Linked DNA regions of Saccharomyces cerevisiae S288C. The protein of the gene in region 1 purifies or fractionates together with the protein of each later gene. This does not show direct contact. Each region holds a gene or a part of one and is shown on either strand. Other genes may lie near its edges. The genes, in order: PGI1, PRP42, TDH2 and PRO3.

Region 1 (4,496 bases):
TCAGCTGGTTCAATTAAAGGCAAAGAGCGACAAAGATAAAAGAAAGGGATCTTCAGATTCCACTGCCTCTATAATGGGCAGTTCCAACGCACTTCCGACCAAAAACCTAACCACGCCTCCAGCACTAAACCCCTTAACGACCAGCATTAGTAGGGGTAATACTGCATACGAAAGAAGCGTAAATGGTAGCCGTATAACAATGCACTCAAACCTGGCACCTACGGAGACGCAAGACGTATCATGGTCTGAAATCGATACACTGGATGATGTGAAGAAGATGGCGAAAGAACCTATCGTCAACGACGGGTTCCCACGAGATTTTGAGAGCAATCTCACGCAAATGCGCAAGTCGCACGCTCAACTACTGCGATTAATGAGGGAAAGAAATCAGCGACTAAAGTATGCCAAGCTGAGGAGCCCTCCTCATAAGGATCAGCATAATTCTGCCACGAATAAAGATCAAGAACCAGACGAGGTATTGCATGACCCGGAAATCGCACTTGACGGTGAGAAGTACGTGAGCCAAGTTGTCGATACTATTAAAGATGTTCACCGATGCTGATGACATGTATGGGTTGAAAATATTTAGAGGATGCTAAAAGTCCCGTCTAAAATAGAGGAAGTCATGGATTACATTATCACCTTTATTGTCCTGTTCCGTCTGGCTAATTTGGGACGAGGAACGTTTGTCTCCATTCGCAACCTTTTGAAACCATATGAACGGCGGCTAATCTGACAGATGTCTTATATTTCTAGGATTGTAGAAAGCCTCCTCATCAAACCACCTTGTTTGAAAAAGGCACTAGTGCGGTTGCTTTACTTGATCTAGTATTCTCCTACCTTGGAGCGGTCCCATATCAACTAAATTCAGTTTTCTGACTGAGTTAAAAACTAATGTAGCGACACCACTTCCATTGGTGCCTCCGTTATTTTTTTTTTGTATGTTAATGCTAAATAATACACCGCTATGTATTTCAGGGCACTACTTCTACACATCAACGGTACTAAACATTTCGCTCAAGATCGGTCCGCTTTCACGTATTTGGATGCTATGCAATGTTGACTATTCTTAGTGGATAACATGCGGCATTTCCTGGCGGCTATTTGCATCGCTATGTAAGTGGCAATGTTCGGATGTGGGTAGTACTTTCAAAAGAAAAAATATTACTGAAGAAGGCATACTACGCCAAGACTATTTTATTCTCAGCACTTGTCCTACGTGGGGTTAGAGGCGAGTAAGACTTTGGCCCCGCTGCGGAAGCAAAGAGAATTTTGCCATCGGACATGCTACCTTACGCTTATATCTCTCATTGGAATATCGTTTTCTGATTAAAACACGGAAGTAAGAACTTAATTCGTTTTTCGTTGAACTATGTTGTGCCAGCGTAACATTAAAAAAGAGTGTACAAGGCCACGTTCTGTCACCGTCAGAAAAATATGTCAATGAGGCAAGAACCGGGATGGTAACAAAAATCACGATCTGGGTGGGTGTGGGTGTATTGGATTATAGGAAGCCACGCGCTCAACCTGGAATTACAGGAAGCTGGTAATTTTTTGGGTTTGCAATCATCACCATCTGCACGTTGTTATAATGTCCCGTGTCTATATATATCCATTGACGGTATTCTATTTTTTTGCTATTGAAATGAGCGTTTTTTGTTACTACAATTGGTTTTACAGACGGAATTTTCCCTATTTGTTTCGTCCCATTTTTCCTTTTCTCATTGTTCTCATATCTTAAAAAGGTCCTTTCTTCATAATCAATGCTTTCTTTTACTTAATATTTTACTTGCATTCAGTGAATTTTAATACATATTCCTCTAGTCTTGCAAAATCGATTTAGAATCAAGATACCAGCCTAAAAATGTCCAATAACTCATTCACTAACTTCAAACTGGCCACTGAATTGCCAGCCTGGTCTAAGTTGCAAAAAATTTATGAATCTCAAGGTAAGACTTTGTCTGTCAAGCAAGAATTCCAAAAAGATGCCAAGCGTTTTGAAAAATTGAACAAGACTTTCACCAACTATGATGGTTCCAAAATCTTGTTCGACTACTCAAAGAACTTGGTCAACGATGAAATCATTGCTGCATTGATTGAACTGGCCAAGGAGGCTAACGTCACCGGTTTGAGAGATGCTATGTTCAAAGGTGAACACATCAACTCCACTGAAGATCGTGCTGTCTACCACGTCGCATTGAGAAACAGAGCTAACAAGCCAATGTACGTTGATGGTGTCAACGTTGCTCCAGAAGTCGACTCTGTCTTGAAGCACATGAAGGAGTTCTCTGAACAAGTTCGTTCTGGTGAATGGAAGGGTTATACCGGTAAGAAGATCACCGATGTTGTTAACATCGGTATTGGTGGTTCCGATTTGGGTCCAGTCATGGTCACTGAGGCTTTGAAGCACTACGCTGGTGTCTTGGATGTCCACTTCGTTTCCAACATTGACGGTACTCACATTGCTGAAACCTTGAAGGTTGTTGACCCAGAAACTACTTTGTTTTTGATTGCTTCCAAGACTTTCACTACCGCTGAAACTATCACTAACGCTAACACTGCCAAGAACTGGTTCTTGTCGAAGACAGGTAATGATCCATCTCACATTGCTAAGCATTTCGCTGCTTTGTCCACTAACGAAACCGAAGTTGCCAAGTTCGGTATTGACACCAAAAACATGTTTGGTTTCGAAAGTTGGGTCGGTGGTCGTTACTCTGTCTGGTCGGCTATTGGTTTGTCTGTTGCCTTGTACATTGGCTATGACAACTTTGAGGCTTTCTTGAAGGGTGCTGAAGCCGTCGACAACCACTTCACCCAAACCCCATTGGAAGACAACATTCCATTGTTGGGTGGTTTGTTGTCTGTCTGGTACAACAACTTCTTTGGTGCTCAAACCCATTTGGTTGCTCCATTCGACCAATACTTGCACAGATTCCCAGCCTACTTGCAACAATTGTCAATGGAATCTAACGGTAAGTCTGTTACCAGAGGTAACGTGTTTACTGACTACTCTACTGGTTCTATCTTGTTTGGTGAACCAGCTACCAACGCTCAACACTCTTTCTTCCAATTGGTTCACCAAGGTACCAAGTTGATTCCATCTGATTTCATCTTAGCTGCTCAATCTCATAACCCAATTGAGAACAAATTACATCAAAAGATGTTGGCTTCAAACTTCTTTGCTCAAGCTGAAGCTTTAATGGTTGGTAAGGATGAAGAACAAGTTAAGGCTGAAGGTGCCACTGGTGGTTTGGTCCCACACAAGGTCTTCTCAGGTAACAGACCAACTACCTCTATCTTGGCTCAAAAGATTACTCCAGCTACTTTGGGTGCTTTGATTGCCTACTACGAACATGTTACTTTCACTGAAGGTGCCATTTGGAATATCAACTCTTTCGACCAATGGGGTGTTGAATTGGGTAAAGTCTTGGCTAAAGTCATCGGCAAGGAATTGGACAACTCCTCCACCATTTCTACCCACGATGCTTCTACCAACGGTTTAATCAATCAATTCAAGGAATGGATGTGAACAAATCGCTCTTAAATATATACCTAAAGAACATTAAAGCTATATTATAAGCAAAGATACGTAAATTTTGCTTATATTATTATACACATATCATATTTCTATATTTTTAAGATTTGGTTATATAATGTACGTAATGCAAAGGAAATAAATTTTATACATTATTGAACAGCGTCCAAGTAACTACATTATGTGCACTAATAGTTTAGCGTCGTGAAGACTTTATTGTGTCGCGAAAAGTAAAAATTTTAAAAATTAGAGCACCTTGAACTTGCGAAAAAGGTTCTCATCAACTGTTTAAAAGGAGGATATCAGGTCCTATTTCTGACAAACAATATACAAATTTAGTTTCAAAGATGAATCAGTGCGCGAAGGACATAACTCATGAAGCCTCCAGTATACCCATCGATTTGCAAGAAAGATACTCGCACTGGAAGAAAAACACTAAACTACTTTATGATTACCTAAACACGAATTCAACAAAGTGGCCGTCCTTAACGTGCCAGTTCTTTCCTGATTTAGATACCACTTCGGATGAGCATCGCATCTTGTTATCCTCATTTACATCTTCCCAAAAACCTGAAGATGAGACCATATATATTAGCAAAATATCCACGTTGGGTCATATAAAATGGTCATCTTTAAATAATTTCGACATGGACGAAATGGAATTCAAACCGGAGAACTCGACAAGGTTTCCCTCCAAACACTTAGTAAATGACATCAGTATTTTCTTCCCAAACGGGGAATGCAATAGGGCAAGATATTTGCCTCAAAATCCAGATATTATAGCCGGCGCCTCTTCAGATGGTGCAATCTACATATTCGATAGAACAAAACACGGCTCTACTAGAATAAGACAGTCCAAAATTTCACATCCCTTTGAGACAAAGCTGTTTGGTTCACATGGTGTTATTCAAGACGTGGAGGCAATGGATACTTCTTCGGCAGATATAAATGAGGCGACTTC
Region 2 (4,676 bases), on another chromosome or scaffold:
TTGATGCGAAAATAGACAGTTTGCAAACAGCACAAAAGGAGCTCCGAAACAGCCTTTCTTCTTTTTCTAAATAGGTTATTAATGAAGAGTATGGGTAAGTCATTAAGGATTCACATTATGCAATCTTTCCCAGGGTCGGCACACCCACTTTCTAAAGAATCCGCACGCTTATGTTAGTTGGCAACGAATCACACTCAAGAGGTTTTACAATGAATACTGATCATGTGAAACATGATTAAGTTACTCTAATAGAGAATTGAATATCTTGATCACACTGCACTTCAGATGTTGCAATTGCGTTATAAGAGAGGATGTATTTGTAGTCCTTTATGCAGGAGGGTAATGCGTCAATTCAAATCGTTGCTTTAATACTCTGTCAGCATTGGTAACACTATTATTGGACGTACAAGACAATGTTCTAGAAAGTGGTAATTTGGACCCGTGAAGCGGTCACAGACACGTGTTGTTGAAGTGTTGATGTTTACGTGGACTATTTATGTTTCGTTATTGCTAGTGTTAGCAGGTACTTTCTTAATGAACCGAAATACGAATACAGATATAATTGATACTTTTAAACGAGAAGTCGATTTGCCAATACCTGCGCAACCAGGTCCACCATTCCCGCTTGTTACTGACTATTGTGACATTGTATGTGGATTTGGCCGCGGATCCGCCGAATTGGGTATTCCCACTGCCAATGTACCTATAAATCAGTTACCTAAAGGTATCAACGATTTGGATTTAGGGGTTTACTTTGGGTTTGCTCACATTAAAACTGTTGATGGTCAAGAACTATCGGTGGAAACAAGGCGGGATGGAAGAACTGTGGTTTATAATTACGGTCAATATTTAAGTGAAGCGAACGATGATTTGTCCGTACTTCCTATGGTACTTTCAGTTGGGAAAAATCCATTCTACGGAAATGATTTCAAAACCATGGAATTACATATTATACATGATTTTAAAAATGATTTTTATGGGGCCAGGGTCAAGTTCAATATTTTAGGTCATATCAGACCCGAATTGAACTACACTACTAAGGAAGCTCTGATCGAAGACATCAATATCGATATTAGGACTGCGCAGACTGTCCTTGCCACTCCACCGTATCAAGTATTCAAACAACAATTATAGAGATCTGCGGGAGTGATGAGGCTAGTAGTTTTTCTTAACGGTCATTAAGTATACATTTACATATTTATACCTTTTAATAAATGACAATGCCTTTTGGCTAAGGTTCTTCAGTAAACATTTCCTCTAATGTATCCATCTCCTCTGGGAAGTATGACTCACAGAATTCTGTTAAAGACGGCAAGACGCTCTGTGCAAATTTTTTGTCTATTTGGGGCCATATTTTTCTGACAATATATTGCCTCTTGTCCAAATATGACCTAGAAGTGTCGAAATAAATTAAACGGCAATAACAGTTCCAGAACATACCGTTCTGTAGGTAGTACTCCCAACCAAATTCTATTATCTTTTGAAATATGTTCTTTTCTACAAATTCTACGGTATCCTTCGAATAAAACTGTACTAAGTTATTCAATAAAATTTCTTGACCACTTTTTTTTTCTTTACAACTCAAACGTTTCCATACTTTATCAAACAGCTCCTTATTCAAAAGCCCGTTTGATTGTGAATCAGAATATCGACTGGAATACAGAGAATTCTGGCAGAACGTTTTGAACTGAAGATAGTCCCAAAATATCTCAAAATCATCAACGTTTTCAACATTGTCGGAATATGAGGACTCAATTTTTTCCAATAGATTTCGCAAAAGTACGTACTCATTTAACTTGCAAATAACTGAATACAGTAGTTTTATTATTTCGGTCTTCTTCAAAGAAAATTTAAGACCCATTAATAGAACGTTTTTTGCCCCCAAAAGGTCATTTTTTGAATTTATCAACCATTTACTGTATTTTATCCATACAAGATCATAATGGGCCAGAGGAAGTAAAGCTCTTTGAAAATTTAAATGTGTTAAAGAATCTGTTTGTAAGGTGATGGTATAATCCAAGTATTTTATCCATGTTTCTATTTCATCTGAAGAAACCAAGGTTTCTGGCGATGTATAATAGTTGATATAAATTTTTGATTCAAAAATGGAATAGATTTCAAGTACTTGATATTGTACAACCATGTACATTTCCTTCGTTATTTTCTTCAACTTTTTCTTTGCATCCTGCAGGTACGGTCCCTTTCTTCCACTGTAATTGATGTCTATCTTGAGTTTCTTCAATAATTCATCTTTACTTGTTAGTTGTGATAATTGCTTTAGGTCCATTATATCGTCTATGCGCTGTAACCATAATGCATAAAATTTCGAAAAAGAGTGTAAAGGAATTTCGAGTATCTTCCTCAAAACGTTCCAATATTTCTTAGAAGACGTACATCTTGAGCTAATTTGTTCCAGGTATAAATCCCAGAATTCCCCACTGAAAAAATGCAAACCAACATATTCTTCAGCTGTTTCATATTTTTTAAACAACTGCTTCTGGTGTGAGATAACGTTATTACAAAACTTTAAATATGAAGTCCATAATAGTAAAGATCTTTGGTTAAAGGCTTGCAATCCGCGCTGAAATATCTTATGAGACATAGAAACATTCCCTAGTTTGTATTCCAGTAGCGCGAAGTCGATATAGTAGTTTTCTAGATAGGGAAACTCATTCAGCATAGAAGAATAAGTACATCGTATTAACTTTAATAATTGAGGCTCAGTGGACTTGCATATTGGTGCCGAAGCCTTTACTATATAGTTCAGTAACTTCTCCCAATATGCCAAACTTTTAGGGTATCTCGAGACATTCAATGTAAGAGTTGAAAAATTCTCATCGTGAATCAAAGCAGTATATTTATCCATAGATGTTTGCTACTTCAGTTAATGGTCAGCTGGGTATTTTCTGAAACTCTTTCGAGCGCCTACTTGACTTTTTTATGTAGAAATTTACGTTGTTTTTCCCACGGGCTTTAGGTCAGACACTGGTTTTGGACGTCACAAGAGCATCTTTGAAATTTAATGAAAAGAAGTAGAAAAATTACAAATAAGAACTTGTGTATCAATAGATTAACAAAATATACGTGAATAACCGTAAATAAATAAATAAACTTAATAAATAAAGAAAAGGGTGCGATTTTTCTAGATATTTATGCACATTATAGTTGGGATTTGACCCAACCTTCCAAGCCTCCTTTTACAATAATTTCTTGTAGGTTCTTACCTAGCTCACCCACTTTTTGCTCCAAGATCACAGGGCCGTCCAAAGAACCTTCGGTAACGACCACTTTAGCATCAGCTACATCCCATTTCAAAAACCAACCAGTTCTTCTTGTAAGTTCTTTTGGAGCACCTTGATATTTCTCACGTAATTTTTTGATTAATGCTGGGATTTCCAAGGTCAGAAGAGCATTGTTAATGGAGTTTCTTGAAAAAATATTACCAAAAGATCCTGAAACAACTAAGTTGATACCTTTAGCCAATAAGGCGGTGGCCGCTTGTTCCCTGGAGGAACCGGTACCGAAATTGAACCCACTGACCACTATATCACCTGGATGAACCTTGGTTCTGAACTCGGCATCATAATTTTCCATACAAACTTGCGCCATCTTTTCTTTAGGCACATCATCCTGATAAGTGTACTTACCAGGATATATACCATCGGTATTGATGTTATCGGCATCACATAAAACTAATTCACCAGAAAACTCTCTTGGGAAACCTTCTAATATCTCAACGGATTGTTTTGGAGCCTCTGTTTGAGCGTTAACTTCCTCTTCAACCACGGGATTCTCAATTATCTCAGTCTTAACGCCGCTGAATGGAATTTCGCTTGTGGACAATACCTCAGCAGGAGAACTAATCTTACCCAGCACGGCAGAAGCGGCGACTACAGCAGGGGAAGCTAAGTAAGCCAATGCATCCTTGGAACCCATTCTACCTTTGAAGTTTCTGTTTGTGGCACTGATACCAACTTCACCTGGTTCCAGTAATCCCGCACCTAGACCGATGCATGGACCACAACCAGAAGGCAGTGGGATACAGCCAGCCTTTAGCAGCTTTTCCCAAGCGCCTGATTTACGGGCATCAGCCTCAATTTCTGAAGAGGCAGCAGCGACATAGAACTCCACACCTGGAGCCACCTTGTTGACTTTGTTTAAGTCTCCAGTAGGACAAACCACATCCGCTGCAGATTGCAAATCAGATAGACGGGAGTTTGTACATGACACTAGATAAGCTTTATTTATCTTGATGTCTTGTTGAGATAGATCTTGCACGGTGTTGGAGACCTTAACACTATTTGGACCTGAGACGTAGTGAGTTAGCGTGGCTAGATCGATGATCAGTTTCTTGGCATAATGTGCATCCTTGTCTGCTTTCGGAATCTTCGCCTTTTCTTCTAGTGCGCGGATAGTCTTTGGATTAATCCTTGGATGATTATTGGTGCCCAGCTTTTGCAAACGGTTTTTATACCAGTCGATCAAAGTTTTGTCCACGGGGAACAAACCAGAAAGAGCCCCCCACTCGGTGGTCATGTTAGCAATAGTGAGTCTGTGATCGATAGGCAATGCATTCAAAGAGTCACCCGTGAATTCAATGGCGTGATTTAGAACTTGATCATTGTTGAAAAGCCCACATAATGCGACAATGATATCTTTTCCGGAAACACCCTGAG
Region 3 (3,769 bases), on another chromosome or scaffold:
TTGTTATTATTATACTTTCTTAGTTCCTTTTCAATTGTTAAGAAACGATATCACAACTGTTACGACAGAGAGAGACCCAAGCTAGAGATCACAAGCTAAAAAAGAACCAAGTTTACATATATATATATATATATATATATATATATATATATATCCATATTCATATTTCTCGAGAAAGAGCCTCTATTTCTCATTGGTAAGTAACTTCATAAGAGACTAAGTTGTAAAACTGTGGCTTTGTTATACGGTGATTTCCTTTGGAGGTTGCTAAGGTTTATGGTGTTGAGTGCAGTGTGCACGACAGGGACCGCTAGAATGCGGTGAGTTACAAAATTACACGTGACTTTTCTGGTCACGTGACCTTTTTTTCTGTCAGCAATCCGTAGGATGCGCGTTGGCGCTACAAGTGTGTCATATCTGTACTATATTTGTACACTTATATGTAGTTGTGACAAAAGTCTCTGTTAGTACTAAATTAAACGATGTTATATCTGTGGACCCCCTCACCTTATACCACTACGTACATATCGTTGGAAAATCTAGATCAGAGGGTGGTAAATGAAGTGTAATAGTATTCATTTTTCTTATAAATCATCCCTTCCGTGATTTATACAAAAGAAGAGGAGAATATGCTGAATACTTGGTATATTACTCTACATTATACTCTTATCTTGACGGGTATTCTGAGCATCTTACTCAGTTTCAAGATCTTTTAATGTCCAAAAACATTTGAGCCGATCTAAATACTTCTGTGTTTTCATTAATTTATAAATTGTACTCTTTTAAGACATGGAAAGTACCAACATCGGTTGAAACAGTTTTTCATTTACTTATGGTTTATTGGTTTTTCCAGTGAATGATTATTTGTCGTTACCCTTTCGTAAAAGTTCAAACACGTTTTTAAGTATTGTTTAGTTGCTCTTTCGACATATATGATTATCCCTGCGCGGCTAAAGTTAAGGATGCAAAAAACATAAGACAACTGAAGTTAATTTACGTCAATTAAGTTTTCCAGGGTAATGATGTTTTGGGCTTCCACTAATTCAATAAGTATGTCATGAAATACGTTGTGAAGAGCATCCAGAAATAATGAAAAGAAACAACGAAACTGGGTCGGCCTGTTGTTTCTTTTCTTTACCACGTGATCTGCGGCATTTACAGGAAGTCGCGCGTTTTGCGCAGTTGTTGCAACGCAGCTACGGCTAACAAAGCCTAGTGGAACTCGACTGATGTGTTAGGGCCTAAAACTGGTGGTGACAGCTGAAGTGAACTATTCAATCCAATCATGTCATGGCTGTCACAAAGACCTTGCGGACCGCACGTACGAACACATACGTATGCTAATATGTGTTTTGATAGTACCCAGTGATCGCAGACCTGCAATTTTTTTGTAGGTTTGGAAGAATATATAAAGGTTGCACTCATTCAAGATAGTTTTTTTCTTGTGTGTCTATTCATTTTATTATTGTTTGTTTAAATGTTAAAAAAACCAAGAACTTAGTTTCAAATTAAATTCATCACACAAACAAACAAAACAAAATGGTTAGAGTTGCTATTAACGGTTTCGGTAGAATCGGTAGATTGGTTATGAGAATTGCTTTGCAAAGAAAGAACGTCGAAGTTGTTGCTTTGAACGATCCTTTCATCTCTAACGACTACTCCGCTTACATGTTCAAGTACGACTCTACTCACGGTAGATACGCTGGTGAAGTTTCCCACGATGACAAGCACATCATCGTTGATGGTCACAAGATCGCCACTTTCCAAGAAAGAGACCCAGCTAACTTGCCATGGGCTTCTCTAAACATTGACATCGCCATTGACTCCACTGGTGTTTTCAAGGAATTGGACACTGCTCAAAAGCACATTGACGCTGGTGCCAAGAAGGTTGTCATCACTGCTCCATCTTCCACCGCCCCAATGTTCGTCATGGGTGTTAACGAAGAAAAATACACTTCTGACTTGAAGATTGTTTCCAACGCTTCTTGTACCACCAACTGTTTGGCTCCATTGGCCAAGGTTATCAACGATGCTTTCGGTATTGAAGAAGGTTTGATGACCACTGTTCACTCCATGACCGCCACCCAAAAGACTGTTGACGGTCCATCCCACAAGGACTGGAGAGGTGGTAGAACCGCTTCCGGTAACATCATCCCATCCTCTACCGGTGCTGCTAAGGCTGTCGGTAAGGTCTTGCCAGAATTGCAAGGTAAGTTGACCGGTATGGCTTTCAGAGTCCCAACCGTCGATGTTTCCGTTGTTGACTTGACTGTCAAGTTGAACAAGGAAACCACCTACGATGAAATCAAGAAGGTTGTCAAGGCTGCCGCTGAAGGTAAGTTGAAGGGTGTCTTGGGTTACACTGAAGACGCTGTTGTCTCCTCTGACTTCTTGGGTGACTCTAACTCTTCCATCTTCGATGCTGCCGCTGGTATCCAATTGTCTCCAAAGTTCGTCAAGTTGGTTTCCTGGTACGACAACGAATACGGTTACTCTACCAGAGTTGTCGACTTGGTTGAACACGTTGCCAAGGCTTAAATTTAACTCCTTAAGTTACTTTAATGATTTAGTTTTTATTATTAATAATTCATGCTCATGACATCTCATATACACGTTTATAAAACTTAAATAGATTGAAAATGTATTAAAGATTCCTCAGGGATTCGATTTTTTTGGAAGTTTTTGTTTTTTTTTCCTTGAGATGCTGTAGTATTTGGGAACAATTATACAATCGAAAGATATATGCTTACATTCGACCGTTTTAGCCGTGATCATTATCCTATAGTAACATAACCTGAAGCATAACTGACACTACTATCATCAATACTTGTCACATGAGAACTCTGTGAATAATTAGGCCACTGAAATTTGATGCCTGAAGGACCGGCATCACGGATTTTCGATAAAGCACTTAGTATCACACTAATTGGCTTTTCGCCGCATATGGTGTTTCCGGTGATTTCCAAGTATTGTTTCCAAGCATCGTACCTTTCACCATTTGGAGTATCACTTAGCGTTTTCATCGCATATCTGTCCATTATTTCAATGGATTGCCAAATGGGAACTTGATGATGTGAAAGTTTACTCCTAGCAGTTAACATTTCCACTTCTGTTTCCTCTTGAATGGCATCATTCAACTCTTCCTTGCTTCCGACGTACCCAGTATATTGGAATCTGCGGCCCCAATGACAGAAATCACTGCTTACAATGAATAAATTGTTCGGATCCTTAATGTACTCCGACAAGATATTACCAATGCAACGATCAACATCAACGCTGTTATGAGAAACCATCATAGGAAATACCTTCACCGTATCTAAAGAAATTTCTCTCCATTTCAAAGTTTCCACCAACATGGGGAGCTGCATCTCTAAGGAATGTTCAGCCATATCAGTGTCATGATCCATTGGCTTAAACAGCTTCTTTCCGTTCTCAGGATACTCCTTCTGTATTAATGTTTTACACAAGTCTGTATCCACTTTCAGATTACCCAAGGGCGTCTCTAGCTCACTGAATGCACTAACTAATATTTGGTTTTTGAAATAGATGTGATGCGACGGCCCCAAGATAAATATTCTCTTAACATTACGGTTCAAATCCAACGATGCGTACGAGTAGGCCATAGTGGGTCCACAATACCTGTAACCGGCATGAGGACATATGATAATTCTGGCGTTGTGAATTGGGCCTTTAAGGGTACTTTTGATCAAGTATGTATGCAGTTGTTGAGATAATTCTTGGGCTCTATTGGAATACCATGAGCCTGCAT
Region 4 (3,625 bases), on another chromosome or scaffold:
TCTTAGGAAAGTTGTTAAACCTTCTAGTTTAAACAGTGATAAAATTCCATATGTTGCACCTACAAAAAAAGAATATATCGAGTTGGATATATTGAATAAGGGATGGAAGTTACAAAGTTTAAACGAATCTAAAGATCTCCTACGCGCAAGTTTTAATAAACTGAGTTCCATATTACAGAACGAACATGACTATTGGAATAAGATAATGCAGAGTATTAGCAACAAGGATGTTATTTTTAAGATTAGGGACAGGACTAGTGGTCAAAAGCTGTTGGCAATTAAGTATGGTTACGAAGACTCTGGATCTACCTATAAGCATGACAGAGGTATTGCTAATATAAGGAATAATATAGAATCACAAAATTTGGATTTGATACCCCACAGTAGTTCAGTGTTCAAAGGCACTGATTTCGTACATTCAGTAAAGAAATTCTTAAGGGTTCGTATCTTCACAAAAATCGAATCAGAAGATGATTACATATTGAGTGGCGAAAGTGTGATGGATAGGGATAGTGAAAGTGAAGAAGCTGAAACGAAAGATATCAGAAAGCAAATCCAACTTTTGAAAAAGATCATTTTTGAAAAAGAACTGATGTACCAAATAAAGAAAGAATGCGCTTTGTTGATTTCCTATGGTGTCAGTATTGAAAACGAAAACAAGGTAATAATTGAACTACCTAACGAAAAATTTGAAATCGAGTTGTTGTCCCTTGACGATGACTCCATTGTCAATCATGAACAAGACTTACCAAAAATCAACGACAAGAGAGCAAATTTAATGCTTGTTATGTTGAGACTATTATTAGTCGTTATATTCAAGAAAACATTACGATCGAGAATAAGCTCACCCCACGGACTGATCAATTTGAATGTTGACGATGATATCTTAATAATACGTCCCATTCTTGGTAAAGTTCGGTTTGCTAATTACAAACTGTTACTAAAAAAAATCATAAAGGATTACGTGCTCGATATAGTTCCTGGCTCAAGTATAACAGAAACGGAAGTTGAGAGAGAACAACCTCAAGAAAATAAAAACATTGATGATGAAAATATAACTAAATTAAATAAAGAGATCCGTGCCTTCGATAAACTATTGAATATACCTAGACGTGAACTCAAAATAAATCTACCATTAACTGAGCACAAAAGCCCTAATCTAAGTTTAATGCTCGAAAGTCCTAACTATTGTAACGCACTCATTCACATCAAGTTTTCAGCTGGTACGGAAGCCAACGCAGTGTCCTTTGACACAACATTTTCTGATTTTAAAGAAGTAGAGGACTTCCTACATTTTATTGTCGCTGAGTACATCCAGCAAAAGAAGGTGTAATATCCTGAGTCACTCCTTAAACCTACATACATTGCCATAGAATGCCATTTATTACTATATAAAGTCGCATACGTACAAAAGGACAAGATCTTATCTTCGAAAACAAGAATATGAAGGATTTAATAACATTGCCAGGTTAAGAACGGTGTAACAACAATAGAAGTAACACAACACCAATAGCAAACAAACCAACTACAGATATGACTTACACATTGGCAATTTTAGGCTGCGGTGTTATGGGCCAAGCACTTCTTTCCGCCATTTATAATGCTCCAAAGGCGGCTGATGAAACTGCTGCTGCATTTTACCCTTCCAAAATTATCACATGTAACCATGATGAACCTAGTGCACAACAAGTTACCGATCTAGTTGAGACATTCGACGAATCTCCTAACGGTATTAAAGTCGAAAGCACTTACGGTCACAACGTGAGCGCTGTCGAAGAAGCTTCTGTAGTTCTTCTTGGTACCAAGCCATTTTTGGCCGAAGAAGTGTTGAATGGTGTGAAGAGCGTCATTGGGGGAAAGCTACTTATTTCCCTGGCTGCTGGCTGGACAATTGACCAATTGAGTCAATACACTAGCACTGTTTGCCGTGTTATGACGAACACACCTGCCAAGTACGGATATGGTTGTGCGGTGGTGTCCTACTCAGCTGATGTTTCCAAAGAGCAAAAGCCACTGGTCAACGAATTGATTAGCCAAGTTGGTAAATACGTTGAGCTTCCAGAAAAGAACATGGATGCTGCTACGGCTTTAGTCGGTTCAGGCCCCGCTTTTGTTCTCTTGATGTTAGAATCCTTGATGGAGAGTGGGTTGAAATTGGGAATCCCATTACAAGAGAGTAAGGAGTGTGCCATGAAAGTTCTAGAAGGAACAGTGAAGATGGTTGAGAAAAGCGGTGCTCATCCATCCGTTTTAAAGCATCAAGTTTGCACACCAGGTGGTACAACTATTGCCGGGTTGTGCGTAATGGAAGAAAAGGGCGTCAAGAGCGGTATTATCAATGGTGTTGAAGAGGCAGCCCGTGTTGCGTCACAATTAGGCCAAAAGAAGAAATAGATTGCTTTGCGTGAAATGTATGTATGTTCGCTTTGTAGCCGTATATTATTTTTTTATTACTGACCTTGCATTTTTTCGTCATTTTCCCGTCGGTCCGATAATGAATCATCACGATGAATGACTACCCCATAATAATGACACTAATTGGAGCGTATAAAAGAAAAAAATTATATAAATGTGTTTGTAATGAGTAAGAGCAATTGATTCATTTGAAATGAAAATCAAAAATCAAAATTAAAATAAAACTAAGCAACCATGTCAAGCGGCAGTACTATTGTTTCGTCTGACAAGTCGGGGCGAACATTTAAGCATGAGGAAGAACTACCCAAGTTACCATTACCTAAACTCTGTGACACTTTGCAGCGTCTGAAGGAGAGTTTAGAGCCATTGTATTATGCTGATGGTTACTATCAACATCCTTTAGATCCAGAACAAATTGAGAAGCTGTCATCCATAATAAGAGATTTTGAAGAGAATCCCGTAAGTGAGAAGCTGCAATCTAAACTACAGAGCTACCATGACACTAGGGATTGCTACCTTGATGAATTACACTTAGACATCAATAACCAGACCTCCACTAGGGAGATTCAGGACGATGTCCTACCCAGGAATCCCTTCTTGGTTCTCGCAGATGACGCTTTGCCAAACATCACTCAAGCTGATAGGTCAGCCGTCCTAGTGCACTCTGCGGCCAGGTTTATTTCTGCTTTGAAACAAGATTTGTTGCCACCAGATATCAATGCCACCAATGGCAAACCACTGTCAATGGCTCCATTTCTGAACTTGTTCGGTACTACTCGTAGTCCTGTTTTTCAGCGCGGTGAGGTTGAAAATTTTGATTTGAACAAACCTTACACAGCATCTGATTTAGAAGACCCTGATTATTCAAGCGATGAGGACGATAACGACGAACCCACCCAAAAAGACTTTGATGACCGTAAAAGAAAACACGAAGAAGACATATTCACTGGCAATGGTATAACTATAAAAAGACATCCGGATAGCAAACACATCTTGATCATCTCCAGGGGCCAATACTATACACTGGAAGTACTTGATTCGACGAATAAAATTATATACACTGCTGCAGAATTAACCACAATTTTCAACCATATAATAAAAGATTCTTCTGGCATTGAAAAATCAACTGCGTTAGGTAGTTTGACCTCTCACTCTTTTAGAAACTGGAAATATGCAAGGAAGAGACTACAGAAAAGGTATCCTAATGAAT

Evidence for each region.
Region 2: the proteins of PGI1 (region 1) and PRP42 purify together in Saccharomyces cerevisiae (affinity purification with mass spectrometry, with the first as the bait; one large-scale study listed by BioGRID). This does not show direct contact.
Region 3: the proteins of PGI1 (region 1) and TDH2 purify together in Saccharomyces cerevisiae (affinity purification with mass spectrometry, with the first as the bait; one large-scale study listed by BioGRID). This does not show direct contact.
Region 4: the proteins of PGI1 (region 1) and PRO3 purify together in Saccharomyces cerevisiae (affinity purification with mass spectrometry, with the first as the bait; one large-scale study listed by BioGRID). This does not show direct contact.

What each region holds. Positions count from the first base shown.
Region 1 is NC_001134.8:611,269-615,764, reverse strand, and holds PGI1 (glucose-6-phosphate isomerase), read left to right. Parts: upstream 1-1,864; coding exon 1,865-3,529; downstream 3,530-4,496. Other genes in the region: YBR197C (uncharacterized protein), read left to right, coding at 1-562; YBR196C-B (uncharacterized protein), read left to right, coding at 1,135-1,239; YBR196C-A (uncharacterized protein), read left to right, coding at 1,592-1,741; MSI1 (Msi1p), read left to right, coding at 3,883-4,496. UniProt on the Saccharomyces cerevisiae protein: In the cytoplasm, catalyzes the conversion of glucose-6-phosphate to fructose-6-phosphate, the second step in glycolysis, and the reverse reaction during gluconeogenesis.
Region 2 is NC_001136.10:931,694-936,369, reverse strand, and holds PRP42 (mRNA splicing protein PRP42), read right to left. Parts: upstream 2,867-4,676; coding exon 1,232-2,866; downstream 1-1,231. Other genes in the region: FMN1 (riboflavin kinase), read left to right, coding at 478-1,134; homoaconitate hydratase LYS4, read right to left, coding at 3,160-4,676. UniProt on the Saccharomyces cerevisiae protein: Essential component of the U1 snRNP particle, which recognizes and binds the 5'-splice site of pre-mRNA. Together with other non-snRNP factors, U1 snRNP forms the spliceosomal commitment complex, that targets pre-mRNA to the splicing pathway.
Region 3 is NC_001142.9:452,452-456,220, reverse strand, and holds TDH2 (glyceraldehyde-3-phosphate dehydrogenase (phosphorylating) TDH2), read left to right. Parts: upstream 1-1,539; coding exon 1,540-2,538; downstream 2,539-3,769. Other genes in the region: MHO1 (Mho1p), read right to left, coding at 2,775-3,769. UniProt on the Saccharomyces cerevisiae protein: Glyceraldehyde-3-phosphate dehydrogenase (GAPDH) involved in glycolysis and gluconeogenesis. Catalyzes the reaction of glyceraldehyde-3-phosphate to 1,3 bis-phosphoglycerate.
Region 4 is NC_001137.3:199,543-203,167, forward strand, and holds PRO3 (pyrroline-5-carboxylate reductase), read left to right. Parts: upstream 1-1,533; coding exon 1,534-2,394; downstream 2,395-3,625. Other genes in the region: SRB4 (Srb4p), read left to right, coding at 1-1,333; carnitine O-acetyltransferase YAT2, read left to right, coding at 2,650-3,625.